2 linked regions of the Lepisosteus oculatus genome follow. Each later gene encodes a partner of the first gene's protein in a complex. Links are inferred from orthologs where the notes say so. Each region holds a gene or a part of one and is shown in the gene's direction. Other genes may lie near its edges.

Region 1 (7,969 bases):
CCTACCACTGGTTCCTACTGAGCATTTCAGTTATCTAAACTTGAGCCTCTCTGGGTATCAAGTTTGACATGTTCCCCAAACCTAAAGGTATGAGTAGGAAACAATCGAGAACGTTGGTCTTATCTCTTGCAATTAAATGATATTCTATAATGCTTGTTGAAAACTTTTTATCCCAAAGTTTAACTTTCGGCATAAAATTACCATGCTGTGCACGCCACCATCCAGGCCCCAGAGAGTTTCTGAAAAAAAGTTCTCAGATAACTCTATAAATCCACCCATCCCAAACCTGGCTTGGGCCAAAAATAACAGCACTGATTTTAAAACTTGTCTCAATAGTGTGTGATTGCTAACCCTAACCATACCTTGGGTACCAATTGAGCATTTCCGCGATCTATACCTGAGCCTCTCTGGGCATCTGATTTTGATTTCTTCTCCAACCAAAAATTGTGAGTGAGAAATAACCAAGACTGTTGATTAAAGCCCCTGCAAGGGAATGAGATTCAGTAATGCTTGGTTACAAATTTTAATCTGACCAACTCAGTTTTGGGATACAATTACCTCACAGTGTACCATGCCATGCAGGTTCCAGGGAGTTTTTGAAAATAATTTCAGATAGGAGCAAAAAACCACTTGTCCTAAACCTGACTTGGGCCCCAAAATCCACCGCTGATCTTAAATTTGTCTAAGAAGCGTGTGAATAGTTACCCTCACCCTACCTGGGGTGTCAACTGAGCACGATCTTTACCGTGACCTTCTCTGGGCATCAGATTTTGACATGCTCCCCAAACCAAAAAGTATGAGTGGCAAACAATCAAGACCATTGAGTACAAAACATTTTCTTCTTAAATTTTTCAGCCATCGCTTTCTAGATCTTTCTTTGCTCACCTTTGGGATTAATAGCAGCCATATCACCCTGCAACTCACAACTGGCAACCCACTGAAGCTCAGCAGGTGTGAGCCTGGTCAGTACCTGGATGGGAGACCTCCTGGGAAAAACTAAGGTTGCTGCTGGAAGAGGTGTTAGTGGGGCCAGCAGGGGGTGCTCACCTGGGTCCTGTGGGTCCTAATAACCAGTATAGTGATGGGGACACTATACTGTAAATAAGCGCCGTCCTTCAGATGAGACGTAAAACCAAGGTCCTGACTCTCTGCGGTCATTAAAAATCCCAGGGCGTTTCTTGAAAAGAGTAAGGGTGTAACCCCAGTGTCCTGGCCAAATTTCCCATTGTCCCTTACCAATCATGGCCACCTAATAATCCCCATCTATGAATTGGCTTCATTACTCTGCTCTCCTCCCCACTGAGAGCTGATGTGTGGTGAGCGTTCTGGTGCACTATGGCTGCCATCGCATCATCCAGGTGGGGCTGCACATTGGTGGTGGTGGAGGGGAGTCCCCATTACCTGTAAAAGCGCTTTGAGTGGAGTGTCCAGAAAAGTGCTATATAAGTGTAAGCAATTATTATTATTATTATTATTATTATTATAGATTCTGTGCATTAGGTAAAACATAATTAAAATGCCATTTGCCATTTTCTACTGGTTTCAGTTCTGCTGAAGCCCTTTTTATGTCCTTTAATAAGTCTTTCCTTCATAGTGTGCAGTCCTGAAACAGCCCTAAATCTTTGTTTTGGACTGCACGTTTCAAAATTTACTTCAATGTACACTGGGCTGTGGTCCCAGCTCTCTAATGGCCCTTTCACCAGTGTTTTCCTTTTTGTACTATCTGGTCTCCACTCAGGTGGGATCCTGCATATTTAGTTAGATATCCATGTGATTTGTAAGTTGTTTATCTAATCTCAGCTAACACTCAACAGTAAAACAACTAACTTTTTAGCACTTTTTAAAATGTTTGAAATGTTTAAGTGCTACAGTACTTTCATCAAACTGAATGTGAAGACTGAAACAAAAAAAACATTCAGATTGAAAATGTAGCACCCAGTAAGAAAGCTGTTAAAATGAAAGGGACTGTGTTATTTAGCTTAGTCATATACTGTATGTATATACTGTAAACCTTGGTGTTGCCTTTGATCCACCAAACAAAACTGATTCAAAGATTGTATCATGTGTAGGGTGATCAAATAATAAAAAAGCTAAATAATTGATGAGACCAGTTGCATTATTTATAAATATTCTGGAAAGGATGGAGAAACATCATTTGAGAACTTATTGAAGCAAATAAAAGGAATAGCACAATTAGTGTGGGTTCCACTGTTCATATCACTCACAGAATTCTGACAACAAACTGACAGTATCCTTAAACACTAAAAAGTCTTCAAACCCTACATTTCATCAGAGATGAACAACCCAAGGCCAGGGGGAAACTTAGCTGGGACGCAGGGGTTACACCCCTACTCCTTTCGAGAAACACCCTGGTATTTTTAATGACCACAGAGAGGCAGGACCTCGGTTTTACGTCTCATCCGACGCCTTTTTACAGTATAGTGTCCCCTTCACAGGTCGAGCGCCCCCATCTGACCCCCCACTAATACCTCTTCCAGCAGCAACCTTAGTTTTTCCCAGAAGGTCTCTCTCCCATCCAGGTACTGACCAGGCTCACACCTGCTGAGCTTCACTGTGTTGCCAGTTCATATTTTTCTGGTTTCTGAAGCATCAGTCACAACAGAAATACTTTACCCTGACTCTTGCTCCTGTTGCTTTTAACTTCTTCTGTTTCAAGATGTGCCATCACATCAGAGATTATTATTTTGGTGTTAGCACAGTAAACCTTCTCATCGCATAATTTTTAAATCAGTGTCTATTGACCCAAAAGCGCTGATTGTTTTTTACTAGATGGTAGGCACAAGTACTTTCAGCAGTGGTTCTGTTAAGATCTCTCTCTCCAGGTTCTGGCTTACAGAAGAACTGATTATCGCCACTGCTTTTCAATTGAAGGCACAACCTGTCCTTTTTTGTTTGTAATTGATTCTTAATATAAGACTTGTAGCCTTGAACTGATTCTTAATATCAGACTTGGTGCCCACAATGTGTTGATTTATAAAACCTTCACACATCACAGTTGTTTTCCTATCTGACTCAGAAATAGAAATTCCCTTTGTAACACACTGTTAAAAGTGCATTCATTATTAAGTGTTTTACTTTTTTTTTGCTGTTCAACAGTTGGGATCTAATTCATATGCTGGAGACATCCTGGCCTACAAGTTTCTTAATTAAAATTCACCATATTGCATAAAATTGTCAAATAATTTTGTTCAACAAAAAGCCATGACTTTGTATTTATGTTTGTCAATTGCTTTACGTGTGTCAATTTCCTGAGTACCCAAATGTTTTTTTATTATACATTGCCAGTAACACAAGATAAAGTAACAGTATGCATATTCCTGATTAGCAGTCTTAAATAGAGGAGGAGACTACGGGGGCTCTTTAAAAATTTTGAGAAAACTGCCGAGATACAAAACTCAAGCGTTTCCAATGAGATCAGTCAACCATGGCTGTAACCAAACATTAATATACTGTATCCTGTAGGAGCTGCTGTCCACTGGATGAGATGAGATCTGAAGACTCCATCTATACTTTTAATAAATGCAGAGTGTAAGGAAATAGAAAAGTTTATATATCCAAGAAAAGTCTGTATTCATTTAAACTTTTATATTCTATAAATGGTCTCTAGATTCTGTTTGAAGTGGTGACATCTTCTGTGACATGCCAGATTCAGTTACGGGTTGCTGAATCTTTCTGTTGCCTGTATATTAACCTTTAATGGCCTGTCCCATAAAAATTCCCACCAGTATAAAAAGTCTATAAACTCTGAATCTGAGCTTCTGGCTTGGCAGGACTACAAAATATGTCTTCCAAAAGAGCCAGATGTGATATGTGTGCTTGTAAAACAATTTAATCTAGGCTACATTCAAGGTGACCACTCTGTTTCAATTTGCCTGAATGAAAAAAAAAAACATGCTTTTTTTAGTATCAACAAACATAAAAAAATATTTATTGAACATGAGTCATTGTAGCTGAATCATTATTCTATGTAAGTATCTCATTTGTTATTCTTGGGAAACGTATAAAATCAATATGTTTTGTAAATAAAACACACACATTAAGAGGGAACTTTTAGGCAGGTCATATTCTAAAGCGGATGTTAGCCACAACACCAATATTTTTATGCACAGTGTCATGGACTCTTTAATGAACACGTCACATAAGCAAGAAATCTTCACAGAACAGTACCCTCGGTCACCGTGCCGGGCAATGGATGGGACATTCTGGCACAGAGAGAAGAGCGCCACCTTCTGGTCCACAAACACATACCGCTTATAGCAGCTACTAGGTTTTCCTTAGAGGTCCTGGCTAGGCCCAGCCCTACATACAGTACAGTAGCTTCTGAGATCTGAAGAGATTATGCTACAAGCTGCTAAAGCTTATATACAGTATAATGTAATGTGTTACACTCGTTTGTGTGACCATGAGAAACACCTCCCCAAGGGAGCAACATTCGAGGCTGAACAAATTCTTGTAATTGTGTAACACATACTGTACTTCCAAGCATTGTTACACTGAGCCCATGCAGTAAGTAGCCTGCAGTGCATTGTACTGCTCCATGTTGCAGTTTTAAAAGCAGCGAGCATATACGAATACACACAGTACCCACATGCGTGTGTTTAGTATTCACTTCCTAGTATTCGTGTTTCTCGCGTCGTTTTATCAAAGAAAACGGCAAAGACGGAAACGACAAACAGCAATGCATTTTCGGACGACTGTCCTAAGCACGGACCGTCTCCGTATTCCCCCCACTTGCGAGAGGAAAAGCGCTCTTCGGCTGCTGGTCGCGCCGTCCTTCACTTCCGCACAAGAAGATGAAGAAGCGGCGGCGATGCCCTTCTGGAGCGCAGGACACGGAGACGTCCCCACGCACGGCACGCTCCGTGTTTACACTCCCACGAAAGGAGGAGACTGGCGCACAGCGTCGGTTTGCAAGCCAGGCACGACAGCTGAAAGGGGAGGAGGAGGAGTGGAAGGGGGGAGAGAAAGTGATACAGAGAGGGGCTGTATGGTATAAAGGAGGAAACCGCAGCTTTCAACATTTCCTTCTATAGCGGAATGTTTTCTCGAAGGAGCCATGGAGACGTCAAGAAATCTTCACAGAAAGTTCTGGACCCAAAGAAGGATGTGTTGACCCGACTCAAGCACCTTCGGTCACTGCTAGGTAAGAGGACAGCTCCATCTGGGATCACCCGTCCACAGTCAGCGGTGCATCCCCCCGTGTTTGTCCTCTGTGCTCGTTTGGGGATAACACAAATTGATATAGCCGCTCCTATTTGTCTGTTCACCGAAGAGGATTTTGGTGTTTTGTTACGCTGCTAAACCACGTCTGCATTCGGACTTCTGTTGTGCTGAACGTACTGAATTGTTTAAGCGAGTAAAAAAAAAAACACAACGGAGGTTTTTTTTTTCTGTAATACAATGCCTGCTTTGTACTTCCTTACTGTGCGAATTTCGCGGCTGTTGTTGCCGATTTACCTGAGTCGAGCCGGTGCCGCAGGTTTGACGTTAGGATTAAGCTAACCTTGTCATCCGTGACAGCCGCACCAGCACGCAGCTCATTCAATGGGGAAACTCACTGGATCCCAGTGGTGCCGCAATACAGGAATTCAGTGCAATTCAATTTTCCCCTCACGGCGAGCAAGCCACTAAAACGTCAATTGGCATGTTTAAATGTGATCAAGGTCTCCTCTCTGAATTCACCCACTAGCAGTAACAACGGAAAAATAAGCCACCCTCGTTAAAACGAGAGCAGGCAGGAGCGTTGGGTATTTATTGTGACATTGGTACAGCACTGCCTGTAGGGAAAGTAGTTGCATGATTGCTAAACATTGTCATCCTGAATCTTGCACAAGATTTGTGTTATTTTATTTTGTCGATATTGACTTTTCTTGGGTGCCATTTAGCTTTAAAAATACAAATACATGTATAAAAATGTGCATAACTCTCTATACTACAGAGCGGTGCGCTTCGGGTTAGGAATACATACAGTATATACCTGCCTCGTAAGAGGTCATTTTGCCGACTTTTGTCAGGATGTCTTCGGATACATTTTTAAAAAGCAGAAAATAAAGTTGTTTTTCAGTTGGTTCTCACCGTCCTGCTTTTCTCCTGTATTCTTTTAGGGAGTTTAGCTGGGAGTCTTTTTGATAAGCTCCCACTCTGTTGTCAAAGAGGGGTGGGGGTTGATATCTCGAGTTCCTGAATCTTGAACTTCCTTTGTGGAAGGTAGTTAAATAAACTGCTGTCTGGAGCTCAAATGTGCCTGTTTAGCAGTTGAATGTCATATTAAGCATGTGCTGTCTGAAAAATTACTGTAAAGTAATGATATACTGTATATGCTACGTCTCATAGCTTTTCCAGGAGGAAATTCTAAGCAATAGCAGTGTTTTAAAATTATGCTGGAGGTGCTTTGATTTGACCTAATTTGTATAGTACAGACAGTACTTCAGACTGTCTGAATAATTGCTCTTCACAACACCATTAAAATATGACAACAATGGGCTAGATTTTACTTTATAATAGAAATACATTGTACATTTGCTGTAGTTTCACCTACAAATAGTGCCTGTTACCATTAAATAGTGCACTTTGATTTTGTTTTTTGAAACAAAACATGCAATTATTAGTGAAGCACTTTCCAAACAAACTTTAACTTGTTTATTTATGGATTGAATTATAATGTATGTTCTTTTAAATTTTCTATATAGTGAAACCACCAGGTTTGTGTTTTTCCATGTGATTTGCCACAGTTTGGGAAGCATATTCCTAATTTAACCTCTCTGGTGAAACCTGATCATTGTTTAATTTTCTTGTAGGAGACAGAGCACTGAAGACTGGCAGTTAATTTAATTTTCTTTGATTTTTAGCTTCAGCCCAGACTATTTCTTAATTGCATGAAGTCAGGGGAATGCAGTGAGGTTCAAAATCTGAGGAGGTCAGTCTGTCTGTAGCTATCCACACTAGATTCCTGCTTACTGGGGCTCTTGGTGGTACTGTGAGGTACATCGGCCTTAGACATTTTTCACTGCTCAGCTGCTAGCTCCCTGTGTAAATACTACCAGTGTGTTAAGTCAGGGTTGCCAGCTTGGTACTGCTGGCAGACAAACATCCATTATCTTGCGTGTAGGACTCACTAAATTGGCTGTATAGTGGAATGTTATGACTTGAATTGCACTCAAGTGGACAGGAGTTGATACAGTGTATGTAACATCTTCTGTATATGAACCATATTTGCCCCTGTTTTATTTCAGTACAGAATGAAGTACATGCTCAAATGCTAGTATTTTACAATAGGTAACCTTTTCTGTTGTGATATCCTGTAACCTTTCACCCTGATCTGTAGTGCGTCAGTGCGCTTTGGAAGGGAAAGTTTAAAATAGCAGAACATCCTAAATGAAAGTACATTGTAAAACTTACAGAATTCATTGTTAGTACAGTAGTTACAGTAGGTTGCTGTATTTCTTAACACCCCCAAACAGCTATTTATTGTCCGGCACAAAGGAATGTAGGAGAGCTCTATTTTATTTGTGCATGATCCTAAGTGACTCCTTAGCTTTTTTTAATCAGGTAGTATGTTTTGATAACCCCTGACATCTAAACGTTTTCTTCTGCTCATGTGGCATTGAAAGTGATGGCCAGTAATGCAATTATTTCCATGTTCACTGTTTGTCCCCTTCTTTAATGTTGTAAATGGGTGTTTCACTTCAGTAAAAAAAAAACTGCAGTTTCATAAACAATAGATTTTCCCCACTTTTAGTTCCCTGTGCAGTGTACAGGAAAGCAGAGTGAGTGATGATGCTTCAGGGAGATTTTGATGGGTCCTACAGTACGCAAGTAATATTTTAGTCAACTACCTTTAAAATTCATTGGAGCTGATATGGTGTGCAGTGATAAACTGTGCTAACAGATCTGTAATGAGCATTTTATGAAGACCAAAAATATGTAAAGTAGGAAAAGTATGTTTTCT
Region 2 (7,759 bases), on another chromosome or scaffold:
TATCATTAAATCGTCAGTTCTGTCAATGAATGTTAAAGTGACTGGTACAATAACAATGCCTTTAGTTTAAAAAGTAAAAGTCGGCCTACATTAAGCACGGTGGCAATTGTGCCTTTTCAGCTAAACCATTTTGGATTACAGTTACCAAGGGGTTCGCTGAAGTGGAACGAAGGGTACACATTAGAATACAGTTCTATAAAACAAGTACTGCGAAATGTAAGTTTTTGCTTGCACTGGTTAACTGTTGTTAAACAGGCAAAAGCACTAACTATAGCCAGGTGAAGGAAAACAGAGATGCACATTGAGCTACTTAACACTATCACCATGTGCTACACTGGACACTATGATCTCCACTATGCAATGAACTTCAGTTCTGTTGGTACACAACTACACTGTTGCTCACAGAAATCTGAACTTGAAGCAATGACAAGATCTTAACAGACAATGAAGACTACTGAATTTTCAAAATGAAACGATGATAAACACCAAAACAGTCACCAAAGGGTTAAAATGGATTTTTAATGTGCATTTTTCATTTACTGTAACCCATTACCTAAAGCAACTGAGTTCTTGCATTTCCTGCATAAACCCAAAACAGCATATTGGAAAATGGAATGAATCACTCTTCAGAATGAAATGCCTGAATTTCACTAGTTTAAACATTACACTCTGGTTATACTGTCCTCAATTTCACTGGAAACATTCTTCAAACTGAACATTACAGGTTTACCAGAATAACAAAAGAAAGATTAATACTGTATATATACACAATGTCAACCCCTCATGGCTACATAAAACAGCTTATCCAATCTATCGTTAAAGTGCAACCTAAACACTGATTTATTTTTTTTTCCAATGAAATCACTATGGAGCTGGAAAGGAGTGAGCTACTGTATACCTCCATCTGAAATATTTTCACAGCAATATGCCTTGTGCATGAAGGTGCAGCCAAACAAATGTCAACAGAATGAGACCGACATCTCAAAATATTACTGCTACACCTAGGAGAACAGGTATTGCGGTTTCAAAAGCCTATACAGAATGTTCCAACATCCAACACCTGAATATTTTCTTTTGCCATCTCCTTTAATACAAATATTCACATCTATAGGTAATTTCATTTTTCATTCTTTGCTCATTACATCATAACAGGTGTACATTATCGCATGCTTTCACCAAAATGGAGAATTCCCTTGATGTAACTGTTTGGATGTAAGCTGTGACTGATGTAATGAGTGTTTTTTCATCCATCATATATTTCAAACTTGATTGTTGGCAACTTTAAACATCTAGTCAAGGATGGAGTGGGACTGACCACAGTGTTCAGAAATCCAGGAGTAGTGTAGGTTGGGTAGCTCAGTTTTACAACTGAAATATAAATAGACTGATGCAAATCAGCTGCAGCACTTCAGGAATTAAGCTCAAACCTAGAAATCACCGGTTTCGGCAATATCTTGCCAAGACAGAAGAGGGCTGGGAATGTTTACGAACCTCAGCCACAGACTGCAAGCTGCGGGCAAACTTGATCTGGTTAACACCGTGATGCACGGGTTTGCCGTAGGTGGCTCCCTTGGGCACAGGCTTCTTGCGACCACCGCGGCGCACTCGCACCCGGTAGATGACGTAACCTGCAAGAAAAAGAATCCCGAGATCACACAGGAGCACCCCACTTTGCTACTGCCTTGGGCGCAAGACTCCTCTAAGGTTTACTGTTGCCTTCACTGCTCTTCTCCTCCCATCTCCTGGTTGATTCTGAGATGCTCTTACATGCATCAAACCCTCCTCTTCTGCACCCCACCTTAAACCACAAACTATTCCCAGAAAAAAAATTAAAATGCACCCCCCTTCTACTTTCTGAAGCCTCCTAAAAACTAGGCAAGGCCCATAACCCCAACTGCTCCAGGGGCGCTGTACAATGGCTGACCCTGCGCTCTGACCCCAAGCTTCTCTCTGTCTCTCATGGAGAGCAAGCAAAAGAGAAATTCCTAATGCAAGAAATTGTATATGGCTAATAAAGTGATCGTATAACTGCTGATCCCATGATCTAGTCCAATGCCACATTTTGACTATTGAGTCCCATTTCCTGCCCTGTGATGTGCTGTACTGTACTTACTACTGCTCATTATGTACAAGTGTGGAGTGACAGGGCTCTGGACTGAAAACTTGAAGGTAGTAGATGCATATCCTTGGGGGGACAGTGCTATACACTTTGCAAGACATTTTACTCACATGGCTTTAGGAAGGTGTTCAGAAAATGAGTATATGTCACTTGGAATCAAATCAATAGCAAAACAGAAAATACCAAACTATTCTCTTCATACAGGTACAGGATAAAATGCATCTACTTGATCTTTGCTTTAACTTGGCAGACAGAATCCCAAAGCATGTGAAATCTTTTCCATAAACCCATTCGTCCAAATTATTGCTGTAAACATCCAGAAGAGTGCACAAGAAGATGCTACATTTCAAAGGGGGTAGAACTCCCATCAATTATACACGTTGACATTTTTCGACAAAATAGGCTTAGGAAATCAGGAGAAGACTTCATTTTGTTTAAATGCAGATTTGGTTCACAGAGTACGAAAGCCGTCTACCAGCTACCCGTTTAGCAATACAAAACCTGTGCCGCTACGTGCATCATTCACCAACGCTGTGAGCCACCGCACCAATTGCATACCTACTGGTGCAGGACCACACAGATCGGGAAGAGGATTTCTACACACGGCCACCGGCTCGGCGGGCGATCGCGTACGTACCTTGCTTCGCCTTGTACCCGAGCCTGCGGGCCTTGTCGGGCCTGGTGGGTCGGGGAGCGCGGTGGAGGGCAGACAGCTGGCGGTACTGCCAGCAGCGGACGCGCAGCAAGAAGCGCATCACGTCGGACTGCTTCTTCCTCCATAGCTCCTGCATGTACTTGTACGCTCCCATTTTGGTCTAAGCGGACAAGAAGAGCAGTCAAGTCTGTGTCAAGCCTGTCCCGAGTTTCTACACTCATCCGACATTTTCTGAGGCTGCTTCCCGGCTTGAAAACCACCAGGAAAGAAGAAAAGCACCTTACGGTCTCACGCTTTAGATCGAAACCAGGGGTAACTATAAACCCTTTAATAGGGTTTCTTTCTCTTTATTTTCCTTAACACACTTTGAAAGAATCATGGTACCCGCAAGCCAATGCGACCAACCGCACATACACTTTACAACTACATTTTAACAACGTTGGCCTTCTCAAATGATTACATATTCGTTATATTCACCCGATCTCATGTGGCTGTAAAGCCGGTGAATAAATACTATGTATCCGAACGAAAAGTCACGTTGTAGAGCACCATTTCACTCAATGGCTGTCTACACGTACCCTGCACCTTTTCCCAAACTTCAATCGCAAATAACTCTCTCTTTATCCACTGTTACACTTCAATAACGGTAGTACCAAAACATTTATAAACTCTACACTTTAACTTCAACTTATTTCGACCCGATGATAAGATTTTATTACGGATTCTATGTGGATTGCACATACAGAATAACCAAACACAATCTCCTTACATGATGGCGTACCAGCCGGAAAGGAAGAGGGAGCTATCCCATCATGCTTTATGAAAATCTACCGGCGGAAGTTGATGCGACAACGCAAGGGTGCTTGGGAAATGTAGTGAACAGTACCTTGGAATTAGGATGATGTTTTGGCTGGAAGCAACAAAATATTGTTTCAGAATATTGCAAGCACTCCCTACAGGAAATAGAACGCAATTTAGGGTTATATATATATGTTTCTTTACAATTATTTAGGTTGTACTTGTATGGTATGTTGGGCCTCATTCATTTCCATTATTCCCGCAGCGAACTCTGGAAGTCTGTACTGAAGAGTTAGGAGCGAGCATGAGAAACCTAAGAATTATGTGTCTTTTCTGTTTGCAAACACTTGCTGATCCAGCATCGCATAGGTGTTTTAAGTATCGGTTCTCTTCTTACACAACAATTAAATTGTTTGACCCAACCCCGCACAACTCTTTATGTCAAGAGGCATGTCAAGTACTTTCTGTTTCAAAACTTCTTATTTCAATTTATGTCCTCCAATCTTCTGGATTAATGTTAATTATTCCTTTTAAATATACATTTTTGTTTAAGAAGATGCGGCTGACATCATTACAAATTTAGGCAATTGAGTTATTTAAGAACCCTTATTCTTTCCCATGAAAGCTTTCAAGTTCTCAGTTACCGGTGTAGAAATCGGTACCGATATATTAATGATCAAAAACATGTAGTATTTTCCTACAGACATCAATTGTACTTATGTAAAGCGTAAACTGAGACCTCTTTCAAGGACGGCAAAGCTTTCTAATGCTATTTTGAATCCGCCAACCAATACCACCAGGGTGAATATCCATACTTCGCTTCTGTTAATATTTATATATATCTAATAATAATAATAATAATAATAATAATAATAATAATAATAATAAAAATTGCTTACACTTATATAGCGCTTTTCTGGACACTAACTAAAAGCGCTTTACAGGTAATGTAACCACCACCATCTATTACCTTTAGCTAAAACAATAAATGATAAAGATAAGAAACTCCGAGAACAATAATTAACTTGATTATTCCCCTGATTATTCACCTGTGTTTAAGTGTACGAGCGGACCTGCGCAGCTCTCTACTGTAGAGCTTCCTGTCAAGTTGTCGCCTTTGCTGCAGAGGTGACCGGTTTATCATTGAATGTATTATTGTTGAACTACAAGAAATAACTGGATGTGATGTCGGTTCAGTTTGTTTCTTTGCTAAATTGTGCAGGAGCGTTGAATTTAGCCTGAAACTTTAAAGCGGAGCTACACGCATGTCTATATACTGTAGTAGCTTATATTTTTAGAAAAATCCCTAATGACATAGACCGCTCCTGTGGCGCTGCATTCCGAACTGCTTCTCGTAGTTATTTTGATTGAGGCGGTTTAGTTTTCCCTCGTTTCATTTCCACGAACTCTCCAGGTTTTTAAAACCAAATGGGTAAAGGATGTAAAGTTGTGGTCTGCGGGTTGGCAGCTGTGGGGAAGACGGCCATTCTGGAGCAACTGCTGTATGGAAATCATATTGTGGGTAAGTTTTTTTTTTTTAGGTGTGATAAGTAGCTTGCCAGCTCAATCAAAACGAGTGCATGTAACAGGATAATTAAAAGCCAAGACTGTGCACCTCAGTATTGACACAGGAGTTAATCGTTTCCCGTTTTCCAAGACAGCATTATAGTTTATAGCAGAGGTTTTCATGGTTTCGGATTCATGGTTTCGGATCTGGCAAGTTTACAATCAAGAAGCAAACTCCTTCGTTAGAGCAGCGTTCATACCGATTTGGTGTTTAAAGTACTGATTAAAATGTTGAAATCCTATCTACAATTCAAAATTGATTCAATTTTGTATCGTAGATATGATTTTAACACAATTTTGTATCGTAGATATGATTTTAACATTTTAATCAGTACTTTAAACACCGAATTGGTATGAACACTGCGCTAACGAAGGAGTTTGTTTCAGGTGTGCGAACTTAACTCTACCCAGCTGGGCAGAGCAGAAGAAATAAACCTTGGGAGATATCTGATAGTGTCTGAATACAATACATGGGAAAGTATAGTAACAAGAAACCCCAGGTTTTACTTCTAATTGCTATTGTATCTATATATACTGTATATAGAAATTATTTTACCTTGCTTCACAATGCAATGTATGATACTCAGTGCATGAATTCTTTTATTGACCCAGGTGGGAAACTCAACACACAGCACACTATACAATTAACACATCACAAACCCCTTCAAAAATAAGAGACATAGGCATATGATGAGAAGGAAAAAAATACAATATACATCTACTACACTGCACATAAAACAGTGTTTATCCACTCTTGATGAACTCTGAGTTATTCCAGCAAAATGGTGGTTTTGCTTTGAAGTGCCCCAGACCTGTTTTGCTTCTTGAATGTGTCCTTGTGGCTGTGGTTTGCTTAAGTAACTAGGGAAAAGGAAACCCCTATCTCCAACCTGGAAATTGTTAACATGGAACACCATGATCTCTAGAGCATCATGGGGACATCACCATACATTTGGACAAATACGTTTAGATTGAGACGTAGCAAAATACATAATGTCCGTTTGTTTACTGCAACAAATTGTTCACCAGCATAGCACTCAGTGTGCTAAAGTATACACTACTGTAGCCTGTACTTTTTGTGCAGGCCTCAGTAAGGAATTTATCTGAAACCAGGAATGCATGCAGACATCACTATGCCCTTCAGAAATAAAAGATAAGGTAGAGAAGAAAACAGAATAATTATAAAAAGATTATCTGCTGCCTCACAAACCAGAACCCATTTATTTGTTCAAAGGAATTATAAAACTGGCTTTAAAAGACACACCATCATTACCATATGATGGAGACCAGCAGCCACAAGGAGAAGGAGGAGCAGGAAAACAAGAGCTTCTGAGCCGTCCTCATCACAGGGACAACAGGACACAAAATGGCTACCAACTAATGGGACAAGCACGCTATAAATAATTATTTCCAAAACCTGAGATGGTGTGCTTTTAATGATCTGATTTACTGGAAATTTTAATTTAAGTTATAATTGTTTGAATTTGTGTAGCACTTTTCTTCCCAGAGCTCTTTTGTGTAGAATGGAGCCTCATCATCCATCCACCCACCTGGGTGATGACCTGTAACCATTCTGCCCCAGCAGCCCCATTCTGCAGCAGGAATGAGACATTGCTTTACCTGTTGTATTGTGTTAGCCAGGCAGGAAATTATTCAGGACTCCTGGATTATCGCCATTTCTCCTTCAGACTGTGCCATAGAATCTTTAATCTTTAATGGCATCACCTGTAACTCAGTGTCCCCAGTCATCATAATGGGCACTGCCCTGGAGATTCTATTCCAACACGACATGCAGTAGCAAACTGGTTTTCCTTAGAGGATTCCCATCCCTGAACTGACTACACCCAGCCTTGATCACCTTCTGATATTTGATAGATGAGATCAGGCTAGAAAGTAGTAACTTCGCTGTTAATGCGAATTGCTTGTGACGATGAGTGAGTGAAGTTTGAAGAGAGCTCGTGGTCCAATATTGTTTAATAAACAATATTTACTACTCTTCATTTTGTTACAGTGGTGGAAATTGGAAGTTGCCAATTCTGATGTTCATGAACATCACTGTGTAACAACTTAGTCTCCTCATAGGAAACATTTTAATACTAAAACTACCCGAGGATAGTGACCAAAGAGAAGGCACAAAACTCTGTACTTGGGTGATTTTATAAAATATGGAATTAGATGAAATGGATGTCTTTAAAAGTGCTGCATAACAGCATTGATATAAAGCATTGATAAACATAAATCAACAGCAAAAACCTTAAAATTCAGAGAACACTTTATAAATCTGATAACTACAGTATATCAAACTAGCTATATAATCATCATGACCGATAAGAAATCTTTCTTTTCCTCTGAAGGGTCAGAATCCAGTGGAACCCTGGAGGACATCTATGTAGCATCTGTGGAAACAGACAGGGGAGTGAAGGAGCAGTTGCGTCTCTATGACACCAAGGGGCTTCAGGATGGCCTTGATCTTCCAAAACACTATTTCTCCTTTGCCGATGGATTTGTGCTGGTCTACAGTGTCGACAGCCTGGAGTCTTTTAAGAAAATCGACATATTAAAAAAAGAAATTGACAAGTCCAGGGATAAAAAGGAGGTACAGTAATATATGTACTGTATAT

The links.
Region 2: the proteins of ralgapa2 (region 1) and nkiras1 are in contact, whole or in part, in a crystal structure (PDB 9QU1), measured with the Homo sapiens proteins. The link is inferred for Lepisosteus oculatus from reciprocal best matches to the Homo sapiens genes RALGAPA2 and NKIRAS1. Residues at the interface, in NP_065076.2 of Homo sapiens: Pro20, Lys21, Tyr51, Ser52, Gln53, Phe56, Tyr59, Glu60, Ile63, Arg99, Phe102, Arg103, Trp104, His105, Tyr106, Gln107, Ser108, Lys185, Ile186, Tyr187, Pro188, Glu189; in NP_001364280.1 of Homo sapiens: Lys6, Glu22, Leu24, Leu25, Tyr26, Glu34, Met39, Glu40, Asp41, Val42, Tyr43, Met44, Ala45, Ser46, Val47, Glu48, Lys54, Gln56, His58, Tyr60, His74, Tyr75, Ser77, Phe78, Lys108, Thr162.

The regions. Positions count from the first base shown.
Region 1 is NC_090697.1:10,026,673-10,034,641, reverse strand, and holds the start of ralgapa2 (ral GTPase-activating protein subunit alpha-2), read left to right. Parts: upstream 1-4,735; 5' UTR 4,736-5,058; coding exon 5,059-5,164; intron 5,165-7,969.
Region 2 is NC_090705.1:30,823,185-30,830,943, reverse strand, and holds the start of nkiras1 (NF-kappa-B inhibitor-interacting Ras-like protein 1), read left to right. Parts: upstream 1-4,634; 5' UTR 4,635-4,700; intron 4,701-4,986; 5' UTR 4,987-5,000; coding exon 5,001-5,094; intron 5,095-7,492; coding exon 7,493-7,734; intron 7,735-7,759. Other genes in the region: rpl15 (large ribosomal subunit protein eL15), read right to left, coding at 1,492-1,628, 2,757-2,928. UniProt on the Homo sapiens protein: Atypical Ras-like protein that acts as a potent regulator of NF-kappa-B activity by preventing the degradation of NF-kappa-B inhibitor beta (NFKBIB) by most signals, explaining why NFKBIB is more resistant to degradation.